Linked DNA regions of Diceros bicornis minor. The protein of the gene in region 1 purifies or fractionates together with the protein of each later gene. This does not show direct contact. Links are inferred from orthologs where the notes say so. Each region holds a gene or a part of one and is shown in the gene's direction. Other genes may lie near its edges.

Evidence for each region.
Region 2: the proteins of RBBP4 (region 1) and ASH1L purify together in Homo sapiens (affinity purification with mass spectrometry; 3 studies listed by BioGRID and IntAct, with this or other methods). This does not show direct contact. The link is inferred for Diceros bicornis minor from reciprocal best matches to the Homo sapiens genes RBBP4 and ASH1L.
Region 3: the proteins of RBBP4 (region 1) and KDM5A purify together in Homo sapiens (co-immunoprecipitation; 3 studies listed by BioGRID and IntAct, with this or other methods). This does not show direct contact. The link is inferred for Diceros bicornis minor from reciprocal best matches to the Homo sapiens genes RBBP4 and KDM5A.
Region 4: the proteins of RBBP4 (region 1) and SAP30L purify together in Homo sapiens (affinity purification with mass spectrometry; 3 studies listed by BioGRID and IntAct, with this or other methods). This does not show direct contact. The link is inferred for Diceros bicornis minor from reciprocal best matches to the Homo sapiens genes RBBP4 and SAP30L.

The regions. Positions count from the first base shown.
Region 1 is NC_080752.1:47,309,676-47,317,164, forward strand, and holds the start of RBBP4 (histone-binding protein RBBP4), read left to right. Parts: upstream 1-4,489; 5' UTR 4,490-4,580; coding exon 4,581-4,596; intron 4,597-5,178; coding exon 5,179-5,326; intron 5,327-7,489. Other genes in the region: ZBTB8OS (protein archease), read right to left, coding at 3,684-3,816. UniProt on the Homo sapiens protein: Core histone-binding subunit that may target chromatin assembly factors, chromatin remodeling factors and histone deacetylases to their histone substrates in a manner that is regulated by nucleosomal DNA.
Region 2 is NC_080743.1:59,406,823-59,414,002, reverse strand, and holds the start of ASH1L (histone-lysine N-methyltransferase ASH1L), read left to right. Parts: upstream 1-4,178; 5' UTR 4,179-4,340; coding exon of another isoform or gene 4,341-4,445; 5' UTR 4,446-4,471; intron 4,472-7,180. Other genes in the region: DAP3 (small ribosomal subunit protein mS29), read right to left, coding at 3,333-3,584. UniProt on the Homo sapiens protein: Histone methyltransferase specifically trimethylating 'Lys-36' of histone H3 forming H3K36me3. Also monomethylates 'Lys-9' of histone H3 (H3K9me1) in vitro. The physiological significance of the H3K9me1 activity is unclear.
Region 3 is NC_080756.1:59,031,381-59,038,793, reverse strand, and holds the start of KDM5A (lysine-specific demethylase 5A), read left to right. Parts: upstream 1-4,401; 5' UTR 4,402-4,646; coding exon 4,647-4,811; intron 4,812-7,247; coding exon 7,248-7,325; intron 7,326-7,413. UniProt on the Homo sapiens protein: Histone demethylase that specifically demethylates 'Lys-4' of histone H3, thereby playing a central role in histone code. Does not demethylate histone H3 'Lys-9', H3 'Lys-27', H3 'Lys-36', H3 'Lys-79' or H4 'Lys-20'.
Region 4 is NC_080740.1:70,927,881-70,934,769, forward strand, and holds the start of SAP30L (histone deacetylase complex subunit SAP30L), read left to right. Parts: upstream 1-3,867; 5' UTR 3,868-4,381; coding exon 4,382-4,579; intron 4,580-6,889.

The DNA.
Region 1 (7,489 bases):
GAAGAGAAGATCATTTACATCAGAAACAAAAAAGATGAAATACCTAGAAATAATCTTCTCGGGTTACACAAAATAATATATGAAAAATGGAAAAGCATACGTTATTCCTGGAGAAAAAGACTCATATAAATATCAAAGCTTTAATTCTCCCTGTTTATAATTAACATGACTGAAAAATACCAATAGCAATTTTTTGTCTGTGGTTTACTTTAAAGTAACAGGAAAGGAGGTGAAAAGCAGCAGAATATACCACCCCAAAATATGCCACTTTGGCACAAAGATTACTTTGAGCTGAAGACAAGTGAGGGAAGCAGATACAAAGAACTATTTGCCTAAAAGTAGGACATAAATTTGTAAAGGTGTTCCCCTTTGCCTCTGTATCAGCAAGGACAGAAATTAATCACCAGAGAAAAGTCTAGATCCTTATGCATCCAGAGTCAGCACCAGAGGAATCTATATAATAAACTTAGTAACAGCCCTTAGATTCCATTAGTTTCCCCACATATTTACCTTCCCACAATTTGCTGCCCTAGAAGTGCAAAGCGCTTTTCCTTTGTCTTGTCACTTCTCTACAAAATCACTGTGTTTGTTAAGATGCTATATAAGCTCAAGTTCTAAGCATCCCTTTGAGTTACTCATCACTGAGTACTCCTATGTGTATGTGTGTTGCCCATGTTAATAAACTTGTTTGTTATTCTCTAGTTAATCTGTCTTTTGTCAGTCTAATTTGTAGGGCCTCAGCCAATGAACCTAAGAAGGGTACAGGAAGTTTTTTTTCTTCCCCTACAGGGGAATATGGTGGTAGAGAGGAAAAAAGATAAGCCATTATTTGGTAATTGATGAAGCTGGGCAATATGCGCACAGAAGTCATCATACTATCTGCCTAGTTTTGTACATATTTGGAACTTTTAAAATAAAAAGTTTGGGGCCGGCTCGGTGGCGCAAGTGGTTAAGTGTGCGCGCTCCACTGCAGCAGCCCAGGGTTCGCCCGTTTGGATCCCGGGCGCGCACCAACGCACCGCTTGGCAAGCCATGCTGTGGCGGCGCCCCATATAAAGTAGAGGAAGGTGGGCATGGATGTCAGCCCATGGCCAGTCTTCCTCAGCAAAAACAGGAGGATTGGCAGATGTTAGCTCAGGACCGATCTTCCTCCCCCCCCCAAAAAATAATAATAATAAAATAAAATAAAAAGTTAAAAAAATACCAGTAGTGATTTTTACGGATCTGAGCAAGCTGATTTTTACCTACATATAGGAAAAAAAAAGCAAAAATGGCAGGAAAGGGGCAAGTACTGAGCAGAAGATTGTCCTACAGGATATTAAAAGATAGAATAAAGCCTCGATAATTAAATCTGTGGCACTGACACATGAAGAGAGAGAGAAGAAAAGAATAGAATAGTAAGTCTAGCTACAGACCTAAATATAGGCAGAGGAATTCTATACATGATAAAGATGTTGCATTTCAATCAAAGGGAAAAGACAGACTGTTGAATAAATGATGTTAGAACATCTGGTAAATCATCTGGAAAATAATTAAATTGGCTACTTAGTTTCTACCTTACCCTAATCCTGATGTACTCAAGATTTAAATGTTAAAAAAACACATAAATACTAGGAGCAAGAATAATCTATAACTACCAGGAAAAATATAGTTCTCACAAATATGAGCAAAAAAAGCCAAACACAAAAGGCATACATACTGTATGACTCCATTAATAAAATGTTCAAAAATAGACAAAGCTAATCTATGATGTTAGAAGTTAGGCTAATGCAGGGCCAGCCTGGTGACATAGTGGTTAAGTTTCACGCACTCCGCTTTGACAGCCTGGGGTTTGCAAATTCGGATCCCGGGTGTGGACCTACACCACTTGCCAAGCCATGCTGTGGCAGCCACCCACAAACAAAATGGAGGAAGACTGCCACAGATGTTAGCTCAGGACCACTCTTCCTCACCAAAAAAAAAAAAGAAGTTAGGCTACTGGGAGAAGTAGGGAGAGTGATGGTGATTGGAAAGGAGCATGAGAGGGGCTTCTGGGATGCTGTAATATTCTGTTTATAGATCTGGTTACTAGTTATACAGGTGTATTCAGTTTGTGAAAATTCACTTAGGATATGTGCACTCTTCTATAAATATATTATACTTCAATAAAACTTTTATTTTCAATGTAGTAAAAGAAAACACAGGAGAATTATTTTACAATCTCAGAGTGGGCAAGGCCTTCTTAAGTGTAACATCCCAGAAGCCATAAAAAGAGTTAATAAATTTCACTACATAAAAATAAATTTCTGTATAGTAAAGAAGACCAACAACCCAACAGAAAATAAAGACCATGAATATACACATGCCAGAAGGGAAAATACAAATAACTCCAAACATACTAAAATATGTTCAACCCCATTTATAATAAGAAAAACGCAATTAGTATGACAAGATACTTAAATTGGAAAAGACCAAAAAGTATAGTAAAACAGCAAATTGGTAAAATTGTGAGGAAAAAGGCAAACTCATACAATGCTAGTTGAGTATAAACTGGAGCAACCTCAATGGAGATTGGCAATAATTGTTGAAGTTAAAAATGCATATACTTGACAAAGCAATGTAACTTCTGGAAATTTATTCTACAGATACACTTGCACTTGTGCAAAACAATGGATGTACAAGTATATTCATTGCTGCATTGTTTCTAAGAGCAAAAGAGTAGAAATATCATAAACGTCCATCAACTGGAAATTGGTTAAACAAATTCAAGTAAATGCTAGAACATCTTTGCATGTACACTTAAGAAAATGGTAAGGATGGTTGATCTAGAGTGGAAAACTAGGTGGCAGGGGACCAGAGTTGAAAGACTGACTTTTCACTGCACACCTGTTGTACTTTTTGAATCTTGAATCATATATACCACCTATTAAAAACAAATTTTAAAAATTGTTTTAAGTGAGAGAAAAATGAGCTAGGGAGATATGCAGGGTCCAGCAAGTACGAGCCTAGTATGCTATGGTAAATAGTTGGACTCCATACAGAGGATAATGGGAGATTAGTGAAATATTTTAAGCGGGGAAATAAGAGTTCGATTTGTGCTCTCCCAACCACAGCCACCTTTAGGGATGACAACTTAACGTTTACATAGAACTTTAGATTCTGCACTATACTTTCATATTTATTATCTCATTTATTCCTCAGCTAAAGGAACTAAGATGCAGAGAGGTTATGCGATTTGCCTGCAGTCACTAAGCTAATAAATGGCAAAACCAGGTTTGGGTTTTTTTACTAACACACGATCCAGTTAAAATGCCATGTTAGAAGTTCCCTACTTGGCTCTCCGAGTCCTCGAACCTAGCCACACTCTTAACTATCCCACTGATGGAGATACATGGGGGCGACAAACCCGCAAACGCTTGAAAATATGATTATCTTCAGAATTAAGACACAAGTAAAACTCTCACAAGATACATGTGATTAAGCACATGTGGAAAAAGTTCAAGAGACTGTAAACGTGGGAGCCAAGGTGTCCCAACTCTTAGACCAGGTGGCTTTTTCCTTCAGCATCCCCCAAATAAGCACAAGAAACTACAATACAGGGCGAAATGGGACCATGCCTGAAGCACCTTCTGGGGCAAAGTAGAAGGCGAGGCCGGAAGCCCCGGGCAAGGAGAGGGGATGAGAGAAGTCAGCCACCTACTCACACTCGTACTTCCGATTGACTGGAGGATACTTAGCCTTGATCGCCTTCTGCTCCTCAGTCAAGTTGTAATCTCTAATATCTTCCCCTTCCTGCGCCATGATTGCAGCATTAGACACTCTCCTTCCGCCCTTCATCAGCCGGACTTCGGCCCTGACATACAACTTCCGCTCTAGACTCCGCCCCTAGGCACAGACCCTTAAAGAACCAGGACTCCGTTCTCGGGGACGTACTTTTATACCCTAAGACTTCTGTCTGAGGCTCCGCCGCCTGGAGCACATGCTTAAAAGGCCAAGGCCCCATTTTCTGCGCTGGCTTCATCCATAGTTTTTTCCTAAGGACTAAGGCAATAAATTGGAGGAGTCAGGAGTAGGGGACACTTGAATTAGACACCCCTAGGTTTGAGTGATAGAGGCCTTTTCTCGCCGCCTCACCCCGAGTTCATAACTAGACCTGAAAGCACCCTAGACTTCTTATTTGAGTACTTTGAAAGGGTCCTCAGCTTAACAGCCTTTAAGAAAATGGCTGCCCCCAAGGGAGTGCGGACTAAAACTCTCACGTGACCCCAGGCAGGCGCACTCCCACCAGCCCCGCGCGCGCGCGCGCGCGCGCGATCGAAAGAAGTCGGCTCCGGGCCGTGTGGGGGCAGGGGCGGAGCGCGCGCCTTGGCCCCCTCGAAAAGCGACTCCGCGCGTCTGGATAGGCTGCGAACACGGCTTCCCCGCCCACCTCGCCGTTCGGCGCGCTCCGATTGGTCAGTGTTGGCGCGAAGGTGCGCGAGTCGGCCCTCACGCAGGGGCAGCAGGAAACAATAGAGGCCGCGCGCGCAGAGCGAGCGCCCGCTGCCTCCCCGCCCCTCCGGCAACGCTCGACCCCGGGATCCCCGGCTCGCCTGTCCGCCATGGCCGACAAGGAAGGTGAGGGTGCCGGGGCCGCCCCAGGAGGGCAGGGGATGCCGGGCTTGCGCCGCGGCCTCGACACGGCCTAACAGCGAGGGCAGGCCCGACTCTGCCGAGTGCCGTCCCCACCATCGAAGGCGTGAGGAGGAATCGCCCCGCGGGGCGGGCTAACGGCGCGCCAGCTCCTCGGGAGCGGAGGCCCGTCGCAGCGGCGTGAAGCTGGCGGTGGGGGCCGCGGCGGCGGTTTGCTCCCTCCCCGCGCTCTGTGTCGGTCTGCCCGCTTCTCCAGGTGCTGCCGGCCGCGCTCCCTCCCCCGGGGGCCGGCGCTCGGGCCTCCTCACTGGGGCCGCAGATTGGCGCGTAGGGAGCGGTCTCCCGAGGCCCGGCGCCGTCGCCCGAGCGGCTAACGGAGCGTACGGCCGGGAGGACCCGAGCGCGGTTCCGGGCCCGCGAAGGTGTGGAGGCGTGTTGGTGCCTCCGCCTCGGGGGGATTTAGACACATCCCCCCATTTCAGAATCGGGACTCGGGCCGGTAGCTTTGGAAGTGTTAACTGAGTTTCCATTTGTGTTCGCTAACTTGATTTGTTTTTAACTTTTTAGCAGCCTTTGATGACGCAGTAGAAGAACGTGTGATCAACGAAGAGTACAAAATATGGAAAAAGAACACCCCTTTTCTTTACGATTTGGTGATGACCCACGCTCTGGAGTGGCCCAGCCTGACTGCACAGTGGCTTCCAGATGTAACCAGGTAATAGGAATGCCTTGAACGTTATTTTGTTGCGTCCTCAGTGTAGATTTCTCACGTTGATATACCCTGTTTTCTTCTCGCCAGTCGCCGGTAGAAGGCACGTGATCAAAACCTATTGGTGGCATCTTTTCTAGGCAAAATGTAAAGTTATTTTGTAACTTACCTGATAAGGGGAAAACGTGTCGATGTTTTCTGTTTCTGGTACTGAGTTGAGTAGCCATATTATAGCTAGTTGACCGGGTAATTAAAACATGTCAACTTTCATGAAGTATTGTGATGAATCCAGTTTTTTCAGCAAAACACTTGACTCTCTCATTGGTACTAGCTGGTTAATACAAAGATGAGTATAGACATGGTCCTGCCTTCAAGGAGCACACGTCTAGTTGGAAAGGCAGATATAAACTAATAATTACAGTTATATGTGCTAAGAGCAGTTTTAGAGAGATGCTTAGAACTAACACCTGAAGGAGGGGTGGTTTATGTGTATGGGAGTTTACATGATAAGAAGTTATAATCACTTGTATTTCTTACACATGGGTAGCTTACTTCTAATAGAAGATGTAAAATATTATTTAATTTAGTTTGCGTTTGTTCGGGGTCCACTAGGTGTCACATATCAGGGGGTATAAATTTAAGTAAGACGCCTGCCCTTGCCTTGACTGTGTGTGTATAAAATGTAACAGTAATTATCATGAGTGGCACAGATAAAATGATCAGAGAGAAGAAAAATTACCTCAACTTGGGGTATCGGGAAGGGCTTCCAGGAGGAAGTAACAATGCAAAGATGAAGGTGAATTTAGATAATATAAAGTTTTAGCAAAGCCAGTGTGCCTGTTGGAATGATGAATTTTCTAGTGTGAAACTGCTTCACTCTTCAGAATAACATTTAGAAATTAGATTGTGTGCTAAATAACTAAATTCACTCAAAACTCAGGTCTTCAGATGTCAAGATATTTGCAAAACATGGTTATTAGGCTATTCTTCAGCTCAACAAATAATAGAAATTTGATATAAATTTTATTGGTTAACTGAAGAATGAGGCAGTTACCTTCACAGTGACATTAAAGAAAATGGGGAAATCTATTCTAAGGGTGTTAAACAGAACTGTAATAAATACCTAGACACTTAGGGTTGGAAGCTTCTTTATCATGACCAGCGGTTCCCATATTCAACTGATCATCAGAATTACTTGAGTTTGGGGTAAGTGGAGTCATTTCTGTCAGTTCAGTGATAGTTCAAATGATTTAGGAACCTGTGGCAGAGTACTTGATGAGAAGTAGTTGAATGGTGATTCCAGATTTACTGTGATCATGTAATAAATTATGTATATTGGACCAGTGGATCCCAAATATTGGCCACCCCATACCTACTAAATCTGGAACCCGTGTTCTTAAAAAGCTTCCCATATAATGTAGTGATTAACTAGGTTTGGAAAGCAGTGAATTAGACTCAATTCCCCAAGGCTGGGATCTGCACTATCGTGTTAGTAGCTTTCTACTTTAGCTGATCTAGGTAAATAAACCTTTCTGCAATGTGTGACATTAGTCCAAATACCTTGCTTTTTTCCTTCCTTTTTTTGGTATTTCTACTCACCTAACAATGTTAATTTTTTTAAGATGAGACTTACTTATAAGCAAGTATCCCTAATGCCAGGTGTTTAGTTTTTTGTGTGTTTATGTGTATTTTCATATCTTTTGTAAAAACAAAACACAATTTTACTTCTATAATTCTCTTTTTCCCTACCTCACTTCCTTTGGTTCTTTGTTTAACCTGAGCGTAAGCATTTCTAATTTTCTGTTGACAGCCCACTTTTCTTTCCTCTACTTTTTCTATGTAGGATATATATGGCTGTTACCTCTCTGCAAAGGAATTCCTATTAGTATCTCTAGACCCAACTTCTGGGCTCTTCCTGAATTTTCAGGTGCCTACTGGTGTCTTTGCAGTATCTTATTGGCTTCCCCAACACATGTTCTAAACTGCATGTGTTCTTTCAGTGGAGGTCCCACCCCAACTTTCTCCCTGTCATAGTTGACTTTGGTTTGACGTTTCCTAGGTTTTTCCCTTTCTCCACTTGACAGTCCATTTATAAGCCCTGATGAATTCTACTTGTGTAGCATCACAATCAGATAGAGAGATTGTAAAACAGATTGTTGAGTTCCTCAA
Region 2 (7,180 bases), on another chromosome or scaffold:
CACATACATACCACTCATCAAGCCACGCTGTGGCGGCACTCCATATACAAAAAATAGAGGAAGATTGGCACAGATGTTAGTTCAGGGACAATCTTCCTCACCAAAAAAAAAAAAAAAAAAAAAGTAAATAAAATCATTTAAAAAAAGTTTTTATGAGACCTAGGCAAAACCATTTTTATGGAGTTTTTTTTGGTTAGGAAGATTACAGACAAGGAAACAGAGTGGCAAGTATGGCAGAATGGTTAAAAGCTTGGACTCTTCAAACTAACTGCTGGGATTTGAAACCCGGCTCTCCTATTTAATAGTTGTGTAACCTTGAGCAAATTACTTAAACTTTGTCTCTGTTTCTTCATTTCTAAAATGGAGATAACGGCAGCATCTAAATATAGAATTGTTACAAGGATTAAATGATTTATAAGTTATCAGTTTATTACTACACCTAAGTTTCTCCAGTTTACACAGCTACCAAGGAGCAGAGCTAGGCCTTGAACCCAGGCAGTCTGAAGTGTACATTTCTACTTTGATAGAAGGCAATAACCTGAAGCATAAGTTTAAAATCTTGGTGCCCAAACAAAAATTTCAGAGTTCTTCCCTTGTTACATAGAAAATTATTTAGATTATTATGCTTATACAGCATTTACCCATAACTTGTCAAATGTAAAGTCAATCCTGATGATATTCTAGTAAGTTTTATCTTCAAAAATTTCTTTTAACATTTGAAACCTTATTTTAAAAGTTTATATTGAAGAGCTTCTCCTGTTTATCTATATTGTATTTAGATAACATCCCAGCAAGGAAGCACCATGAAATAAATGTTTAATTACTTCTATTCCAGTGAGGAAGTCTGAGGGCAGCTTAGCTAAGACTGCTGCTGTACAGCAATATCCCAGAGCCCAGCAGTGTATTTACAGCTTGGAAACTGATGCCAGGAGAAGCAGAACAGTAGGGAAATACTGGAAATCTAGGCAGTTTTGTTGAGTGCCTATCACTTTGCTTAAAGAAAAGTTTCAGTTAACCCATACCCTCATTTACATTAAAGCACAGACCACAATCCAAGGCAGAGTACTTTGGAGGTTAATAATGATTTGACTCTTTCTGTATTAGTTTCCTATTGCTGCTGTGACAAATTACCACAACCTTAGTGGCATAAAACAACACAAATTTGTCATCTTAGGGTTCTGTGTTTAGAAGTGCAAAATCAAAGTGTCTTGCAGGGTTGTATTATTTCTGGAGGCTCTAGTAGAGAATCTGCTTTATTGACTTTTCCAGTTTTTAGAGGCTGCCCTTTCATCTTCAAAGCCTGCAAGAGCCAGTCAAGTCTTTGTCATATTGCATCACTCTGACAGACTCTTCTGTCTTCCTCTTCCATCTTTTCAAAACTCTTGTAATTCCAGTGGGCCTATCAGATAATCCAGGATAATCTCCCTATTTTAAGGTTAGCTGATTAGCAACCTTAATGCCACCTGCATCCTTAATTCCCTCTTGCTATGTAACATAACATATTCACAGGTTCTAGGAATTAGGACATGGACATCTTGGGGGAACCATTAGTCTGTCTTCCAAGCCTTCCTTGGTTCAAATAATTCAGTGTTCACTCATTCAATATGGTCATTTTATTGAGCACTTAATATATTTTAGTTGCTAGTAGGCACTGGGGCATATGCAAAAGAACAGAATACTATCCTATTTGCCTATACTTAGCCGACAATTCATGAATCAGTGGAGTTACTGAATGCTAGTTGAAGGCAGAGACCCTAAGTATGTAACTTTCTTTATATACTGGTGTAGCGGAATTCCATTAGAAGTGTTTTTTCTTTGTAGTGTACACAATTATGTTACTGATGAGAAATTTTACACGAAGGCAATGTGGTATAGTGAAAAAAGTTAGGTTTTTAAGAGACAGGCAAACTAAAGTCTAAAGATAAAATTACTGGACTTCTCTGAGCCTCAGGCTTCTCATCTGTAAAATGTGAATAAGATGATCCATCTCAAAGTGTTGTTTATTATAAGGATTAAAAACAAACACATGTTCTTCTGGCATGGTATTCCACAAATGTTAATTCTCCTTCTCTTCTCATATTTTAAGTATCTAACATTCATTTCAACATTTTCCTAACTTGCTTTGCACTAGACTATAGAAAAAATGTTAGACATAGTCCTTGCTCTCAAATTAAAAACGTGGTTGGTAGAGTAACACACTTGCATACATGACACAATTAAAGATTAATGTAAAACTTCAATGGGCTCCATGAAAGACTTGGCACTTAAGACACAGTTAGGAAAAGCAAATATATAGTGAGGTAATTAAGGCTGAATTCCTCTTTACCTTAAAAAAACAAAGCAAGCAAACAAAGCCTGGTCCATATATTGAAATATGGTACGGGGGAAATTCAGGAGTGTCTACTTGAACTTCAGAGCTTGACTAGACCTTTGAGATTTAATCTAGCACAATGATTTTCAAACTATTCCCTGGATCCCCTGAAATTCACAGATGTGAAGAAAAGGGACACCCAAGTAAATCCCCTCCCTAATTTTTTCTGCTTTACTGGTTAGGTGAAACTAAAAACTAGTAGATTAGATAAACTTCGGGATTATCTGTGGATTTTAATAGTCCATAGTTCTCCTGAATTCCATCATCAAGTAAACGTTCGTGCAGGATTCTGAGAAACAAGTATTAGTAACCACAGAAATCTGATAGGCCTAGTTTTGCTTTGTTTTATTAACGACTTGGTTAGAATAGGACACAAACTACCAATTACACCCACAAACCTTATCAACATCAACAGAACAATAACATAATACTCTGCACTTTCCCTGTGCCTAGGAGCTAATTCTACTTTACATATATTATTTCACACACCAATTCCAAAGGCAGATTTGGAGTTAACTAATTTTTATGTCTAGTTTTTCGTTTCTTCTTGATAAGGAATTAAGAAAAATAACTTTCCGAAGGACACATAAGACACGGGCGATTCAGTCCAAAACTCAACTGGAAATACGTGATTCCTTATCCTCTAACATCAGGCTGCCTAATGAGATTGAAAATGTAGTAGCCATGCAGGAGGAAAAAGTAAAAGTGCACAGAAACACCATCGCGTATAGACAGTTGTGCGAAATGCGAGAAATCTAAGCTGAGCTAAAAAAAGAAAAAAAAAGAAAGCCGACCACGGCGCCGGTTCTTCTTTGGGTCCCAAGTCTGCAACATAGAACCCGGAAAAAAGCCCCCTAGGACGGTCGCCGGTCCTCCTGGCCTCACTCCCTACCTCACGGAGGTGCGGAGTCCCGCTCCTTTCCCTCATGGGTACAACCCCCGCGCCGGTCTATTCCCTCACCGAGAGTCGCGGACCAATTCTCCCGACGCGGCGAACAGCAGATACTATCAAAAGCTGCTCCGTAGTGCTCGTCCCGCAGCAAAGAAGCAAGCTCGGGTCGAACGGCAGGAAGCTACTCAACGCGCAGCCGCCGCGGCCTCCAACCGCCGGCCAGCGGAGGGGGGCTAGGCCGCCCCCGACCCACTCGCCGCGGCCGTGAGGAGGAGGGGGGAGGCGAGCCGCGGCGCCCCGGCCCGGGAGGTGAGTAGCCATGGGTCTCTGTCCGCCACTCAGATAATTCCAGTCTTAGCGGCAAGCTCTGCCTGCTTTTGCCTACCTTTTCCTCCCCCGCTCCTGCAGCCGACAGGAATGGAACAGTCCCGCGGGGGGATTGTGGGAGGCGCACGCGCGAGGGGTGGAGGGTATGTGGGGGGGGCCGGAGGAGGAGGCGGCGGCGGCGGCCGTGGCGGCGGTTGGTGGCCGTGGGGGCGGGGAAGGGGGGGAGGAAAGACGAGGAGGTGGAGGAGGAGGCTTGGGCTCGCGCCGCTGAAGGTACGCGTGAGGGCCCGTGCCAGAGCCGGCTTGACAGGGGCCGAGGGGAAGTGGGGGACCGTGCGAGGAGGCGCCCCTGAGCGAGCGCGTACGGGCTGGCTGGCGCGCAAGGCGGCCGGAGGCGGTGGTTGGTGGGAGCGGCGAGCGACGAGCCCAGATACACTCCGGCGCGTGCGGGCGGGCGTGCGCGTTTCGCCGCCCGAGTCGGGTGAGGGGGGAGGACGGAGGGGAAGAACGCGAGGAGGGAGGAGTGGGAGGTGGGGGGGGGCACGAGGCGCCCTTCGCTCGCTCCCTCCCTCCCGAGGAGCTGCCGCCGCCGCCGCTCTGCCGCCGCCGCTCCCGCCGCCATTTTGGGTTCGCTTTGCGGAGGGGGAGACGATCCCCGTCTGGGTTGCGGGACCCGCCTCCCCTCAGTTTCCCTTGCTTGGCCCCACGCCTTTCCCTTCTCCTCTCTCGCATTTCCGCCAGTCCGCTCACCCGCTGGCCGCCTCCTGACAAGCGGGAGGGATCCACTGTGGACCAAGGGAAGCGGAGGAGCCTAGTGGCGGCCGCCCCCTCTTCCCCACTTCCCTGCACTCTCATCTTTCTCGGCCTCGGCCTCTGACACGGTGAGTAGAACCGCTTGGGGAGGCCTTTGGGCCTAAGTACTCCCTCCGCGACTCAATCCTTGGCTTCTTGGGAGCTACTGTCATCTCCCGGACCTGGACCTCCGGGAGAGCGGTGGTAAGGATGGGGGAGGGGAGAGAAGGGAAGGGGATCCTGAGCTTACCGGGAAGTCCCTCCTGGCGGGGGTGAAGGGGTGTCCCTGACAGGCGGGCTCCTGGCTTGGGGGAGGGGGCAGGAAAGTAAGCGAGTGGAGGCGGAGTCGGCTGTGCCCCTGACAGGTTAGTTTGTGTGTTGTGTAGACACGATTGGAGCATCCCCCGTAGTCCAGTCTGTGGCTGTTTAAGGAATAAGACTGGCAGGAGGGCTGATCTTTCGAGAGTAGTTTACCTGTATGATCAGGTGTGTGTCGTCCCTGACATGCTGAACTGTATGTAGGAAAGACAGAATGATTTCAGTGTTATAAGTTTAATAAATGTTACTGGTTACTTTGTACATGGAAAGACATGTTTTTGGTCTGGAAGACAGATGGTCTGCTGGTGTATGGCGGCTGTGTTTGTGTGTGTATGCAAGGAAGGAAAGTGTTCCGGAAGAGTTTGCTTGTGTTTGTGTAAGTGTAATGGAGTTCCCCTTATAAGTTAGCTTATTTTTGAAATAAAACTTGGGATATTCCCTGCTGGCTGATGTGTGTGTGTATTTTAGGTATTGGGAGCGCCTTGTTACCTGTTGGGAAAGAGAAGTCACAGCAGTATTTTAGACAATATAGCATATATTTGTGGGAGAAACTTAAACTGCTTGTGGTCTTAAGAGTAGTTTGTTCCTCTGAACAGAGTGAATTGTGTAAATGTGAAGGTCTAGAATATCTTTAACAGAATAGTTACTATGAGGGTATAAAGAATGGATGGCCTTTTTGTTGACCTGAGTTTATATTAACGCTTTATAATAGAATAACGCTGTTATATTTTTCAGATTTTAAATCTTTAAATTCTAAATCTCTTTGTGATTCTAAATATCTGTGAAATGGTAGAATAGATGTTTTCTCCCATTTTACACAATACGAAATTGAGGCATAAAGAGATAATTTTTCGAAGGTGGCATGTTAAATTGGTTACAAAGTTGGGACTATAACTCCAGTATTTTGACTACTAGTCCAGCAGTGTATTCACTATACCATGATGCCTCAGGAGGTCTTTGTCAGGCAAATCTGAGTTTATTGGAAAGGTAAGGGCTTATATGACTGGTTGGATTGTATTTGGTAGAGATCAGTTATGTCAGACATGTATGTGGAATGTAGGTTGTCCTTTCCAGGTTGGCCTGTGTGAAATGGTTATCCTTGATTATTTTTTGTTTATGAAGGAAGCAGAGCATTTCTGACACTTGAGTTTGTGTGTTTGAGGAAGGGATGTCTTCTGTAGTTTAACTTGTACTAGAGCAGCTACCTGGGGCCTGACAGCTTAACTTTAAATGTATGGGAAGAAGGATCTTCTTTCATTCGTTCAACAAATATTTGTTGAATAACTACTCGTTATATACTGTTCCTGCCTTGGGGTGAGAGTAATCAAGGTGACCCTGTTGAAACAGCCTGGATGCATATGAGGGGACTTGTCTTGACAGTGGTATATGTATTAAGTCAGGCAAAGCAGACAAGTCAGTGGGAAATTGAAACTAGAAAACCTTCCTAAAAAGTCTTTTCAGTTTGGAGGGAATTTAGATCTTCCAGACATTTTAATGTGGAAGGATACAAGTGTATTTAAGAATCCAACAGGATGGCCAGTTTGTGATAATGTGTGCCTTCTTTTGCATTATCTTTTGGCATTTATGAGTAAACAGTTTTTGGGATCTGGGAATTGTTGATATATGTGTCTGTAGATATTGGAACTTTTTGGCAGAGCTGAAGGAATTCTTCGAAAGACTTAATTTTGTAGTAAGGATCCCCTCTATGAATATGAAGGAAGAATATTTGAACTAAACCAACTTAACTGTGTCTCTCTGGAAAATGGAATGTTTTTGATATGCTAGATTAGTGGTTCTTAAAGTTTTTTGGAGTCACTTGTCCTTCTGAGAATCTGATGAAAGACCCTCACTGTACAAAATGAGCATAAGCACAGTCACACAAATGGTGCATACAATTTCAGGAACTTAAACTGTAATGAAGTAGAACCAATTTATATTCAGGTCTCATTTGAAAGCCTTTTTATATATATATATATGTATATATTTATATATATTTATATATATATATGTATATACTTATATATATTTATATATATATTTATATATATATACTTTGGGAGTGGACATGTTGATATGAGTTTAAGATCCAAGATTCTGTGACAGTGTTTGAGCATGCTGACAGTAAGGAGAATTTTAAGATCCATGTTTTTTATTCTTTTTGTTTTATTCTTTATTCTTTGCAAACTTATTTCTGTAGTGTTAGAACATGCTTCTGAATTAGGTGATAAGAGAATATAGCACAAGTGTTTATAGCTTTATTCTTTCTCATTGTGTTTTTATTCTCAAACTCATCTCTATCCAGTTTTGCATTGGGACTGAGGTGTTTTGAAGCTCATTTCGTGGAATTTATCTTATTTATAACAAACATTATTGAGTTAATTCTATGCAGGGGACACAAATATGAGTAATAAAATAATAGGCTTTTAATCCTATTGAAGCTATGAATTGTATGATGGCAGGGGCTTTCAAAAGGGCAAGGA
Region 3 (7,413 bases), on another chromosome or scaffold:
ATAATTTCTATTCAAATGTCATCCATCTTGAGCCCTTCTCTGACTACCCTATCCCCCCTTACCACCCACCCAATCCCTCCTTCTCTACTTTTTAAAAGACCATAGCACCACCTAAAATAGTATGTATTTATTTGCTTGTGCTTATTATTTTGCCTCCTCTCACCACTAGAAGGTAAGCTCTGTGAGGGGAGATACTTTGTCTTTTTATTGTTCATTGTTATATATCCAGCATCTAGAAGAGTGCCTGGAACATAGCACCTGCTCAGTAACTGTTGTTGAACACATGAATGTATGTCTAACATTCCTCCCTACATGTATACTGCCTCTCCTGTTAGACTGCTCTTCTTCTTCCATTCTACATCTACATTAATGCATCATCATTCACTCAAATGTCAAAAGGTTATTCTCAACCCATCCCTCTCTTGAAATCACCCAACATCAGATTGATAATTTTTTTGTGTGTGAGAGGAAGATTATCCTTGAGCTAACATCTGTTGCCAATCCTCCTCTATTTGCTGAGGAAGACTGGCCCTGGGCTAACATCCCTGTCCATCTTCCTCTACTTTATATGTGGGACACCTGCCACAGCATGGCTTGAGAAGTGGTACGTAGGTCTGTGCCTGGGATCTGAACCTGTGAGCCCTGGACCACCGAAGCGGAGTGTGCAAACTTAACCACTATGCCACTGGGCCAGCCCAGACTGATAATTTTTTTAAAAAATCACACTGGTGGCAGAGGATCAATTAAGAACAATGCCTGAAGATCTGGGAGGCTACAGTGATAATTCATATGAAGGAAAAGGCCTAAACAAGGGTGGCAACGATGGAACTATGAAGGGGGAAATGGGAGATATTTAAAGGTTCCAATTGACTGGCTCCAGGACAGGAAGCTAGCTGGAGTAGCTGACATTAATCAGAATGGGAAATACAAGGGAAGAACATGTTTGGAGGCTGTGAGAAAAGCAGCCTGGGGAACACTAACATGATATATTCTCCCACCCCAGAGCTTTTCTTTCCTATCAGCTTAGTCTTGTGCTGCATGACATTAATGTTCTTGCCAGTAATCTCACTTCTTTTTCCTTATCTTCCTGTTGTAACTATGTTGATAATCCCCACACTTTACATCTGCCTTCTATGTATGCTGCTGGAGAATGTCTCACATTTATGGGAAATGGTATTAACATAAACGTACAGTCTCCAACCTTAATTAAGCCCTCAGAAGTGAAGAACACTTCTCAGGAAACATTAGCTCCTTCTAATTTCCACAGTAGCTATTTTGGACACTCACCATTTGCTTCAAGCCCCTAAAGCAGCCCTCCTAGAACCTTTCTCTTCATTTCTCAAAGGCTATTAGGCACCACTGCCTCAACTTCTTGCCTTCTCACCCACTTACTTATCATCTTTGTACTTGTACTTACCTCCTTCCTCTGCTTCAGAGAAAGAGGTGGCCCCCCCTCATCATGCTCTAGTTTCTTCGATCTCTTAGGGACTTTGACTATTCTCTTCTATCTTCAATCTCCAGTGCTCCATTAGTTTTTCTTCTCAGCACTTAGATGTACTCATCTCTCCTAGCTCGTAAAAAGTTTGTTTGGTTCTTCTTTACAAACTCCTGTGAAACAAGTTCTCAGCAGTGACTCCATTTTGTACTCTGGACTCCATCTTCTTAAAAATATGAAACTGTGCTGACCTTGCTGACTTGCCAAAAGGAGATATTTGCTGAGAAAGGACTTTCTGAAGGACTGTGCAAAAATATACTTTTTCTGGTAACAACAAGATGTCCTTGAGTAAGCCAATGCTAATTCACTCTCCATTCATAAATCTTAACAAACAACTGAGGTAATTGTTCTGGGCTCTCCATTTTGCTAATAAAAACATCTGACTTTTACTCCTCAGGGGGACACTTTTCTGGCTGCTGCGGGTACCTGTGTTCCCCGAATTGCAATTCTGAGACTCCAAATAAGTGATCTCCTTTGCTTTGCAGTTGCCTCTTTTTTCTAAGGTGACAGTCCATTCTTCCTGTACCCCATCTTTCCCTCCACAACCAAGAATCTTAAGTCTATGCTTGGTTCCTTTACTTTACCTTTCATTCACTTTGCAACTCACTAGAAATTGGATTTCAACTCCATAACTTCATTTGAAATTGCTCTATGACCTACTAATTGCTAAATTAAATTGTGCCTATCTTGTCTTTTCTCACATGATCTCTTTCTGGCATTTTATACTTTTTGTATAAAATGTACTTTTTGCCAATTTTCACCTTTTCTCCAAGTTTTACTCACTTACTGACTATGAAAACACTCAAATCTCTCTCTCCATTCATTTTTTTTTTTTTTTGGTGAGGAAGATTGGCCCTGGGCTAACATCCATGCCCAACTTCCTCTACTTTATATGTGGGACACCTGCCACAGCATGGCTTGATAAGTGGTGCGTAGGTCTGCAACTGGGATCTGAACCTGCGAACCCCAGGCTGCAAAAGTGGAGTGCTCAAACCTAACCACTAAGCCACTGTGCCAGCCCCTGTCCATTCATTCTTAACATCACGTACCGGTTTTTCTTTTTCTAGTGAAAGAACTATTACCTTCCTGGAAAAATTAATGTTTAATTAGTTCAGTTCAAATAACTGAAAAGTAAATTCTAGCTTCTCTTACTTGTGCAGGAGAAATCACAGGCTTCACAGCAATAATATATCTCAAAGTAAGAATCAATATAATTGAGGCAGCAAATAATTAAGAAGGAGTTTGGAGTTATTGAGTTTGGAGATGAAAAGTGACAAGATGAATTCTGGATTTTAGACAAGCAATCTGACAACTGAGTGGAGAGGGATTTGACAGGGGGCAAGAACTGTGCTGTTATCATAGCTCAGGTGAGAGAGAAATTAGGCTAGTCATAATGAGGATGGAGAGACATGGGTGGATTGAAGATGTTTAGGTGATAGAATTTCCAGACTTGACACACGATTGTGCATGGGCAGTAAGGGAGCAGGAGTCAAGGATTATTTCTAGATTTCTGGCTCTGGCAACTGAGTAGATGGATGAAGTCATTCATGGAAACTGGAAACACTGAAAAAACAGTGAGGAACTAGTGGAAGAACTATTATCTTCCTGGAAAAATTAACTTTAAATTAATTAATCAAGGTACTTTGAGTTTACCAAGTGGAGTTGTCCAGTAGGTAGCTTGATGTACTACAGCTGTAACTTAGGAGAGAAATCTAGGCTGAAAATAGATTTGGGGGGCATCAGCCATACCTGGCAATTTAGGTCCTGGGGGTAGCTGAGATTGCACAGGGAGTATGAGAACAAGCCCTGGGAAGAAAGTCTTCCTTCCAATAAATATATATATTTTTTTTGTGAGGAAGATCAGTCCTGAGCTAACATCCATGCCAATCCTCCTCTTGTTGCTGAGGAAGACTGGCCCCGGGCTAACATCTGTGCCCATCTTCCTCCACTTCATATGGGACGCCACAGCAGCATGGCCTGACAAGCGGTGCATCGGTGTACGCCCAGGATCCAAACCCAGTCCCCCAGCAGCGGAGACTGCGCACTTAGCTGCTAGGCCACAGGGCCGGCCCCCCAATAAATATTTAAACTAAGAACTATCCTTTCGTGGTTTCTTCTTTAGTCCTTTCTACCTTATTCTCCCTGATTTGGAGGAAGTGGAGCTGGACACCGGCATAGAGCGTTTTGATGAGCAGGGTCAGAACAGCTGTCATAGATTTTACAGCAAATTGAGAAAGGCTTACGGAGCATGTGGTGCCAGAGGGAAGGCGCTCCTGTTGAGAGACTTGGGTGTTGTCAATAGTTGGAAAAGCAAGGTCAAGAGCCGTTGCTTCTATGTGGAGGAAAACCAATTTCTGGACAGTGGCTAAGGTCTCCGGCAGGATTTGAGGGATGGGTTCGGACCAGAACTTGTTGTCATGGAGATGGGACGGCTACAAAGTGACGAGTGAGATTATTCAAAAGAGATACTAACAGTCAAAGTACTGAAAAAAGAGAGAGATGCTGAAAACCTTAGTTACTTGAAAAAACACAGATAGGTAGGTTAAAACAAACCATACACCCAACAGCGAAATGGGACGGCTGAGGTTAGGGCCGCGTTGCTTTCGTGTCCCTTTATACACAAAAGGGAACTGGACCCTCCTCGCCGGAAGCAGAACCTCTGCCCTCTGGTGTATTACACATTCCTCCGCGCCGGAAGAGTGCGTCTTGCCTCATAGCCGCCCGCTTCCCCCACCCCTACCTCTTCTATAGGAGAGATCGTGGGACCTCTAGGGTGTGCCGCTTGAAGTCGTCCGACCGTTCGGAACTTTCGCGGACAAGGAGACCAGGAACGACACTGGGTTGCCAGGAAAGGCACGAAGAAGAAAGGTCGTACAACAAGGCGTCGCGTTGCTGCGGAGGGATTCTGTTTTTTGGGGTGCGGAGGGATTTGACAGTACGTTAACTTCCGGAAAAGTCCTGGCCCTGAGAGGAAAAGCCCCGAAGGAAACAATAACAAACGAGAGGAGGAAGCGATTCTGGGCTTACCGTGTTGAGCAGGTCTTGTTCGAGAAGATGAGCTTCGGCCCCTGTCAGGGGACGTGAAAGGGGTCGGTGGGCTTCAGCCAGCCTTTCTCCATCTGTCCCCGCACGGGGTCCCTTGGGTGTTGCCATGGCGGGCGTGGGGCCAGGGGGCTACGCGGCGGAGTTCGTGCCCCCTCCGGAGTGCCCAGTCTTTGAGCCCAGCTGGGAGGAGTTCACAGACCCACTCAGCTTCATCGGCCGCATCCGGCCTCTGGCGGAGAAGACCGGCATCTGCAAAATCCGACCGCCCAAGGTACCGTACGAGTCTGAGGAGAGAGGGGGAGAAGAGAGCGTGGGGAAGTCGATATGCTAGGTTTAGCTTTATTTTTCCGGTCCTCCTGTCCTTTCATCTTTACTCTCCCTCATTTCTAACAAGTAGAAGCTAAGTTTCTGGATATTTTTGCTTTGGTTTCTCTTGCAGTCTTAGGTAGGCACGTCTGAGCGCGAGAGAGCGGAGTCCCCGGGGCCTTTCCGCCTAGAACTTGGGAACAGATACTTCGGGTTGTGGGCAAGGGTAACAGAAGGCTTTAGGCCGATAAGGTGTTTGAAGTATTGTGCCATGACGTACAGTCAGATACAGTCCCCATTAAGGTGCGATAGGAAAAACTGCCCTTCCGTCGGCTATTTTTTTATCGAAGTCTTATCGATGCTTAATTTAGTAAATATTTGCAGGCCTCATCTTGGGGCTAAGGTTTCTTAAACGGTAATCTGAGCCCCAGTTGTCCCCTAGGATATATCACCAAACAAGAACCCCACACTGGTTACTGCTGCAGTGGAAAGATCTTCCCGGGGGAAGAGAAGGAGCAGCATTTATTTTTAAAATTTAGAGGTTTAGGACAAAATTGTCACAAAAGTGGAAGAAAACTTTGGCATCTTTTGATGTAAGGAACCATGGATCAAAGATTTACGAATCGCAGTGATTGCAAATAACTGGGTTTGCCTATAGGTTAGTTATAGTTCTCAATCGTTAGGATACCCCTTGTTTGCGGAAATTAGTGTCCCAAGAGGTTGGGTGATTTGCTCAAGGTCAGAAGATTTTTTTCTTGACCCATTAGACCATTGCTTTCCAGATGATGTTCCTGGTCCACCTGCACCAGAGTTAGCCCTATGCTTGCTAAAATGCAGATTCCTAGGCCTCATTGCGAGACTAGAATCAGTTTCTGGATGTGGAAGTTCTAGAATCTACTTTTCTAGCAAGTACTCTTAGATGGCTCCTAACGCACATTAAAGTTTGTGAACCATTGCCCTAGGGCTTCGTAAAGGGACCTCTTGCTTTATGTTTTGTCTTCCGTTAACAAAAATAAAACATTAAGTGCTGTTTTACCCATGTCGCATTTTAAAAAACGTCTGCTCTTACCACAGTGAATAAAAAGAGCTTAGATGGGAGGGAGGAGGAGGAGCTAGTTTAGCACCTACAGATTATTTCGTTTAATATTCTTTTAAGCCCTAGTAGGTAAATAAGGTCTCATTTTACAGATAAGGCAAGTTGGAATAAGTTAAATAACTTATCAAATGTGTGATCTTGGGCGAGTGGCAAAGTAGATTTTGAACCTAGATCAATCTGCTTGATTCTAAAATCTAGACATGCTGCTCCCATTATGCTTAATGAATTTAAGATTATAGACTATCAATTGCAAGCAAAGGATTAACAGATAATTGCTATGATGAATGATGATACATGGGTTGCCATCCTCCAGAAGCTTTACTTAACTCTTTTTTAATCAAAATTATCTAATATTGACAAAACCTTAAGCACTGAAGTTTTTCCTAAACCATATTTTCATCTACTCTATTGTGTTTAGGAATTAGAAATTCTAGCAAAGGTTCCTTTTGGTAAAAAATTATAACTTTTTTATTACTTAACAAAAGGTTGAAATAATGTACCTTCTCTTTGTATGTCATATTATTTTTGAAAATAAATCTTGTTTACAAGCAGAATTTAATTTCAATATTGGTGGATTTCTTTAGTTTCCAAGGTAAGATAAGTTTTTTTTTTTCCCTACTTCTCATGTTTTTAAATAGATTTACTATTATTTAGGCCAAATCAAGCTATGTTCTCTGAACCCTACTTGAAATGTGCTGTCTCGTTTAAGTTATACCACATCTCCAATCTGGAAATTGTCCTTGTTCTGTGGGTTTGCTTACTTTTTTTAATATTTGGGTACCCAGAAGCTAGGCTTTGAATATAACATTTATATAACATAGACTGTAAAGTGCTGTGTCACATTACACACAAATGGAAAACATATTATTCCATTATATAAGTACTTTTTAAAAATTATTTTAATTTTACCATTTTTTGTTTCTGTCAAATTCTGTTTTTTTAATTTGGTAAACTTGGATGTTTGTTAGACACTGTATTGAGATACATGAGCTCATTACATTCCACTTGAATAATTGGGGAAAGCATAATTGTGGGATGTAAGTAAAGGGACTGGTGAGAGTTGAGGATTACAGATAAGGTAATTTTAGTATTACTTAGAATATTAGAGATAAGTAATTAGAGATAAATAATATTAAAATTATTCACCTAAAAAATACTAGTCTTTCTGTCTCTACAACAAAGAAGACTTATGAACTGATCTGTTGTCATCATGATTTGTGGCAACTGACATTTTACATTAAAGGAATGAAGAATGCATCCCTTGCTTATACCAATATGTTTTTTAAAAAAATTCTTTCTGTTTAGGATTGGCAACCTCCATTTGCATGTGAAGTAAAAAGCTTTCGTTTCACTCCCAGAGTCCAGCGCCTGAATGAGCTTGAGGTGAGTGTTCACCATTTCTGCTTCCTGATTCATTACGTCAGGGATCCAGATAGAGAACTTTGAGAAGCTTATGTACCAGGACTCAGAG
Region 4 (6,889 bases), on another chromosome or scaffold:
CCTCCACTATGGGTTGACTTAGAGTGAGGGGAGAGGAAGGGAGACTTAAGGGTGGGACAGGTTGCAGTTTATGGATTTGGGTGTCAGAGAAGGTTATAACTTGAACATGTTGGTCTGTGATGCCTCTGGAGCATTCCAAGCAAAGAGCTGAATGATGCTATCTGGAGCTCAGAGGAGAGGTCTCAGCCAGAACTATAAAGCTGGGGGGTTATCGACCTATAATTTTAAATATCTGGGGATAGGTTTGGGTATGGAAAAGAATGTTATAGTTACTGATTCAAGCTGCCCATTTTAAAACCTAGCTTTTCTTAAAGGCTTTAAGTTCAACTTACAAATCTTATTCCATTATAAATCTAGTAATTTTTCATATAAAGATAGGGACCATCACTTTCACTTGTTCTTTGATTACTGTTGAATTAATTCTTAAGTTCAATAGATTCAATCCTCCTTAAAGATTTAACAGACTTACAGCCTTAATTAATCAAATTTCCTTAGACAGTTCAGACTACAGTTACAAATTTAATATGCCTTATTTTTTTTCAAACACTTTAAATGCCCAACAAGGCAGACTTATAAATCTAAAACGCAAGATCTTTCTAAGCACTTAAGCAATTGTTGTAAATTAATTATCTAAACTTATAAATGTAGCAAATCAGATTCTCTTGGCCATTTCAAGAATCTTAAATCCTACACAGAGCAGAACAAGGATCACAGAAGCTTCTCTCCTGTATTCATTTATTTCTTCATTATCTGAATATTTATTTATATTTCCTCTCTGGAGTTACAGATTTACTCCCCCAGCAAAGGGATCAGAATTTTTTCCAGATATTGCTATTTAGAGCCAATCTACATAATAACATGGGGAAAGCTTATGATAAAGCATTCCTTGAAAAAAGACTATAAAATTGTGCATAAAAGATAGTTAAAGGCATGACCCCCAACCAAAAAAAATTACATAGAGGTTGGGGGTATCAATCTGGGTCCAATTAGGAAAGAGAAACCACACACTAATTTGAATAGGGAAAGATTTATTAATTATAATAGGGTACTGTAGTAACGAGGTATTGCCTAGTAAGAAGCAGAGAACTCCGAAGAATACAGGCATAGCAGATATAAGGAGCAGCCAGTCCCCCTAGGGCTGAGATAGAGCACCCAAGGAAAAGGCCCTCACCACCTCCCCTACCAGAAGAGTGGTGCCTGGGGAAGCTGGTGCTAAAGAAGCTGTGTGTACTGTAGTAGCCTGGTGCTGGATGCAAACACTGTTTTGAAAAAGTATCTAAGTGCAAAATATATGTGGGAAATACAGAAGTCTTATCCATACCAATCAGCTTTGGAACCAACATTATACACTGCCTTGTACAGATACCCAGCTGTTTTCTTTGTATATGTCTGAGCTCTCCTGTTAGAAGATATTCTCTCTCTCTTTTTTTTTTTTTTTGTGAGGAAGATCAGCCCTGAGCTAACATCCATGCTAATCCTCCTCTTTTTGCTGAGGAAGACCAGCTCTGAGCTAACATCTATTGCCAATCCTGCTCCTTCCCCCCCTCCCAAAGCCCCAGTAGATAGTTGTATGTCATAGTTGCACATCCTTCTAGCTGCTGTATGTGGGACACGGCCTCAGCATGGCTGGAGAAGCAGTGCATCTGTGCGCGCCCGGGGTTCCAAACCCCAGCCGCCAGTAGTGGAGTGTGAGCACTTAACCGCTAAGCCACCGGGCCGGCCCTGAAGAAGATATTCTCTTTTAGGGCTGAGTTCTGTTTCATCCTCCTCTTGTAGCCAACCCTGAAATGAGTGTATGCAATATGCTCAATAATTTACTTTGAATATATGAACTCTGAAGGAGGAATCCTATTAAACTGTGCCTTTTTTCCATTAATTTTTTACTCTATTTTTTCCTACTGTAAAAGCAATAAATGTTTATTGGGGGGAAATGCAAAGATAGAACAAAAGGAGAAAAATATCAACAATATTTCCACCACCCAGAAATAATTGCTATTAACACTTTCGTGTATTTCTTATGCACGAAGTTTTTTTTTTTAACATAGATGTACACACATTATATCCCACATGCAACTTTATAGCCTGCATTTTTAACATAAATAAAGCATTTCTCTAGCTCATCATCAACTCCTTGTTGAAGAGTCAATGCTGAATTATTGTATACAGAAATTTATAGAAAATTGATGTTGAAACTACCTTAAATGTTGAAAACATCATAAGTGACTACAAAATATCTCATTCTGAAGATGTCAAGTAGTTTACTTAACCACTTCCCTTGTAAAAATTTTAGGTTCTTTTTTTATTTTTCCCATTATAAATAATCCCATAATGAACATTGTTGTGTTTAAATTGACTCTGCCAGGTCAATATCCTAAAATGGCTGTCCCACCTGTGAAATTACTAGGCTAGAGGGTACAAATACATTTAAGGCCACTGAGGAAAATTTAAGATCACAGGGCATCTGCTTGTAAACATAGAAACTGGTGGCTTTCCCTTTTTCCACAGGACACAAACCAGAAGCCTCTTCAATGCCACCTAGTACTACCAAGATAGGTACACGTGCTCACCTAACACTCCCCATCCCCTCCACGCCGTTCTCCCCTAGAAAAATGCTACCCAGCCCTAAATGATTACATCACGTCATGACACTAGGCTAGTCCCTTCGGATCTTTAGCCCTCATTTGTCCCCAAGCTGCCCAGGGGAGAGGTGGCCTGACTAGGGGTGCTACACTAGAGTATTTCCCTATGGTCTTTCTGGATATGTGTCACGCCCTGGACGCCGAACCCCGAGCTATGGGGCTTGGCAGGGCGCGGTCACCTAGCGAGTAGTACCGGAGGCTTAAAGCAATGGAAGCTACAGTTTACAGATCTCCAGGGAGGGCCCAAGACTCAGCAAGCCCTTCCTCATGCCAAGATTGACCCTGGGTCCTCCACCCCCAGCCTTTTCTCCATTTCCTCCGCAGCCTCCCTCTTCCCCGCGGTTCCCCTAGTCCACCCTCCAAACCTTATCGTGACTTCCGATTCCTCCCGGCGGAGGGGTCACCCAAGCCCCTGGAGAGTCTCCTTCCCCTCCCCTTCTTCTTCCGCGCGGACCAAACCATCCCCAGTCCCCACAGTCTGGGGTCTCCGCCACCCTCAAGCATCCTACTACCTTGCAAGACCGGCCATGAGACCCCCATCATCTCCCCTGCACGTCTTTCCTCGTATCAGTACGGGATTGTCCCTCTGTCTTTCCCACCATGACTGGCTTTCTGTCCTGTATCACCCACCCTACCTCCCCCACCAGTCTGCGGGTCCTCTGGCCCTGGCCCTCCCGTTTTACCCAGTCTGTCCCTCTCATGACAGTACCTCTATTCCCTTTAGGTTCCCCCTCATATGCTCCTCCCCACGTCTGTTCCTCTACGCCCCCGCCCACGTCTGTACTTCTGTCCGCCCCTGAATGTGGTCCTCTGTTCCCGGAGTCTGCCCCTCTGTCCACTCAGGCCCCTGCTCACCGCCCCTCCTTGGGCCGGGAGAGTCTGCGGCCCGCTCCCCTCCCTCACCCACGGAACTCTTCCCTGTTCCACTTTCTCTACTTTGAACCCATCCCAGCAGAGTCCAGGAAGTAGCCAGGCGCCGGGGACTGGCGGCTGTCGCGCCCAATGGGGCGCGCCAGCGGCGGCGGCGGCCCCGCCCAGAGAGCAAACGCTACCAATGGGCGCGCGGAGGCGGGACTTCCGCTGTCCCGCGGAGGGCGGGGGGAGCGAACTGTTGTGGTGCGGAGCGTTGGGCGGGCGGCGGCCGGGCGGCCCAGGGGCTGCCGCGGGACTCGGGGCGCAGCCGAGCGGCTGCAGGGGTGGGACGGGCCGGACGCGCCGCGGGGCCCGGGGGCCGCGGGTTCGAGGCCGGGTCCCGCGCGGGGAGGCCGTGCCACCCCGGGGGATCTGCCCGGCGGCGAGTTTGCCCAGCAGCCGAAAGAAGGCGGGAGCCGGCGGGGGCCCTCGAAACCTCCTGGCAACCCGGGCGCGGAGTCCCCGGGGAGCGGCTGCTTCCTGGGACGCCCTCCCTGACGCCCCCGCCGAAGGGTAGCGGTTCTGGGCCCCCGGCCGAAGGCGCCTCCGGGTGACCCCCGGCGGGGCCCTGCGAGCCGCAAGAGCCGACCCCGGGGCCTCGAGCGGGGAGGCAGGGGCTTTCCGGAGACGCGGGGCCCGGGGCCGAAGGAGCCGGAGCGCGGCGGAGCGGAGCCGGGCCTCCCGGGCGCGGGGCAGGGCAGCGCTTCGGCTGGAGACGGACTCGGGGACCCTCAGGTGCGGGGGCCTCAGCGACCTGCCCCCGGGGGCGCGCGGCCGCGGAGTGGCCTACAGGGGACCCTCCCCCAGAGGGGCCGGCCCGGGGCGGGGAGATGAACGGCTTTAGCACGGAGGAGGACAGCCGCGAAGGGCCCCCCGCCGCCCCCGCCGCCGCCCCGGGCTACGGCCAGAGCTGCTGCCTCATCGAGGACGGCGAGCGTTGCGTCCGGCCCGCGGGCAACGCCTCCTTCAGCAAGCGAGTCCAGAAGAGCATCTCGCAGAAGAAACTCAAGCTGGACATCGACAAGAGCGTGAGTCCGCCCCCGCGCCCCGCAGCTCTCGGGCCGCCGCCTCCGGCTGCCGGCCGGACTCCGGGGCCCTCCCCGCCCTGGGCCTCGCCGCCCTTTATCTGCAAACTGGGGAGTGGGACTCGGGATTGCAAAGGCCGCTTCAGCGCTGACAGGCGCTGGCTGGGATTCTGCCCAAATCCGGGAGGCTGGGGGCGGGGGCCTCCGCGGACCCTGCCTGCCTGGGAAGACTTGACAAGTTTTTAGCTTGTCTCATTGGTTTAGATACTGGAGCAGGGAGAGGTGGGTTAATTTTGTTGACCCACGAAGCAGCAAGTACTGGGGAGGGGGTGATGAAGGGACCCGGCTCTTCTCCAACTTCTCCCTCCTTCTCGGAGCTCTGTTATTCCTTCAGAAAAGGAAAGGTGGCAGTTACTTCCTTGTCTGCCGCGGCCTCAGCTTCTGCAGAGGGTCACCGAGCTCGCTGCTTCGCATGCGGCTGTGAGGAAATGGGATTTTCAAGGATGTGGCAGAAATAAGGCCAAGACCTGGTCTTGGGAGGTGGCTCTTACAAGTCGAAACGACTAGAAGGAAGAAAATCAATTTTCTTAGGGGTAACTTCTTTAGAAATGCGGAGGGGGGGAGGGGGGATTTCAATTTGAATAGAATTGCCCCGTGTTTTGTGCCTAATTATAGGAAAACTTTTCCTGTGTGATTTCACCTCTTCTAATTAACAATTCTAAATATGTGCCTATTGTCACCCAATTAAGAACTTTGTGGTTTGACATATGTTGCTGCAAGCCTTAAGTGGCTGCCTCCTGATTAGGAACTGGAAATGAGTTAAGGGGGTATTTAATATTCAGGTAGACCAGCTGGGAGCTTAGGCGGTTAACATCTATTCTCTTTTAGGACCAAAATGTCTCCACTGTTGGGAGAAATCAGAGATTGCTTGTTAAACCGAAAGGACGCCCACTTTTCCACTTCTGATTTTACAGTTGAAACTGAGGCCCAGAGATAGGAAGTGACGTGCCAAAATCACACAGCACTTAAGAGGCTGGTTAATTTCTTAAACGCATTGTCTGATTTAGTTCCAAACCCCATGAATAAGCCTTGATTAAGTCTTTCCTAAGTGAAAAATCTTCCCTGCCCTTTCTTCCAGGCTCTTTCCTCCCACCCCCAATTGTTTTTAAAGTTAACAATTATAATACATTTGCAACTCTTGAATGGAAAGATGCTATTTTAAGATGGTTGGGGGTGAATTAGTGGCTTTCTTACCACAAATCTCTATCAATGAATGAATGAATGAAAGGAATTCATCTGAGAGCAAACTGGCTAGATAGACACTAAGGTGGTGCAGATTAGGAAACACGTTGAAGTGAAAGGCTTAATTCTGACAGCAGTGAATTCATCCTCTTGGAAACACTGCCTACCTTCTATGTAGGTTGTTGGGAGCCTTTGCTTGAACAGCTTATAGTAATAATAATTTCCAGTCCTTACAAAAAAGAAGTTTCCAGTTCTTTTAATCCCTCAGATGCAGTCAAATCTGAACAATTGTGCTGCTGCAACTGGGGCTCTATTTACCACTGGAAAACCTGTGCTGAGCCATGTTGATGGTTTCACACACACTGTCTAGAAGAGAGGCAGCCTTAGCCTGGCACTGGAGTTCCCGAAAGGCAGTGCTTCTGAAGGAGCAGGGTTTGAGGTGGACTCGCTCACAGTTTGTTTCAAGGTGGTGTTGTAGAGTCCTTATTTCTGAAATGGATTTGTTTCATTCTCACAGGCTCGGGCAGGAATTCAATTCTAAGTAACTGCTGTGTTACAAGAATTTTTAGCTGTTGCAGAAAGTGGGAAAAAAAACACTAGAGCTACCACCCTCCTCCTCCACCCCCACCACAGCCACTGAGCTCTGAAATTTCTGAAAACCAGTATATACTTGAAAATGGTTAAGGAGAAATAATGACTATCTTGTAAAAGGGTCTAGCAGAGAACCTTTGTAAATAATGGCAGCAAAAGTCCAACTTAGGCAGGTTAACTCATTTCATGTAGACGTTGGCAGTGTTCTATGATTTATTAAGATATAGCATGCTTTCAAACATTTCTCCAATTGACATATTTCTGCTTTTTTCTGGAGAAAAGTGGAAGTTGAGAATAGTATAAGGAAAATGTTGAGGAAGGAAAGGACGTATGCCAGGGTCAGAAGGCCTGGGTGACCTTGGCCAGGTCATGCCCCGACTCTGGGTGGCTTCAGTTTATCCTTCTAGAAAATGAGATTGAGGCCAGTGGGGTCACACTGGTGATTGCTTAGTTCTTTTCCATCTAGGATTCCATTATTCT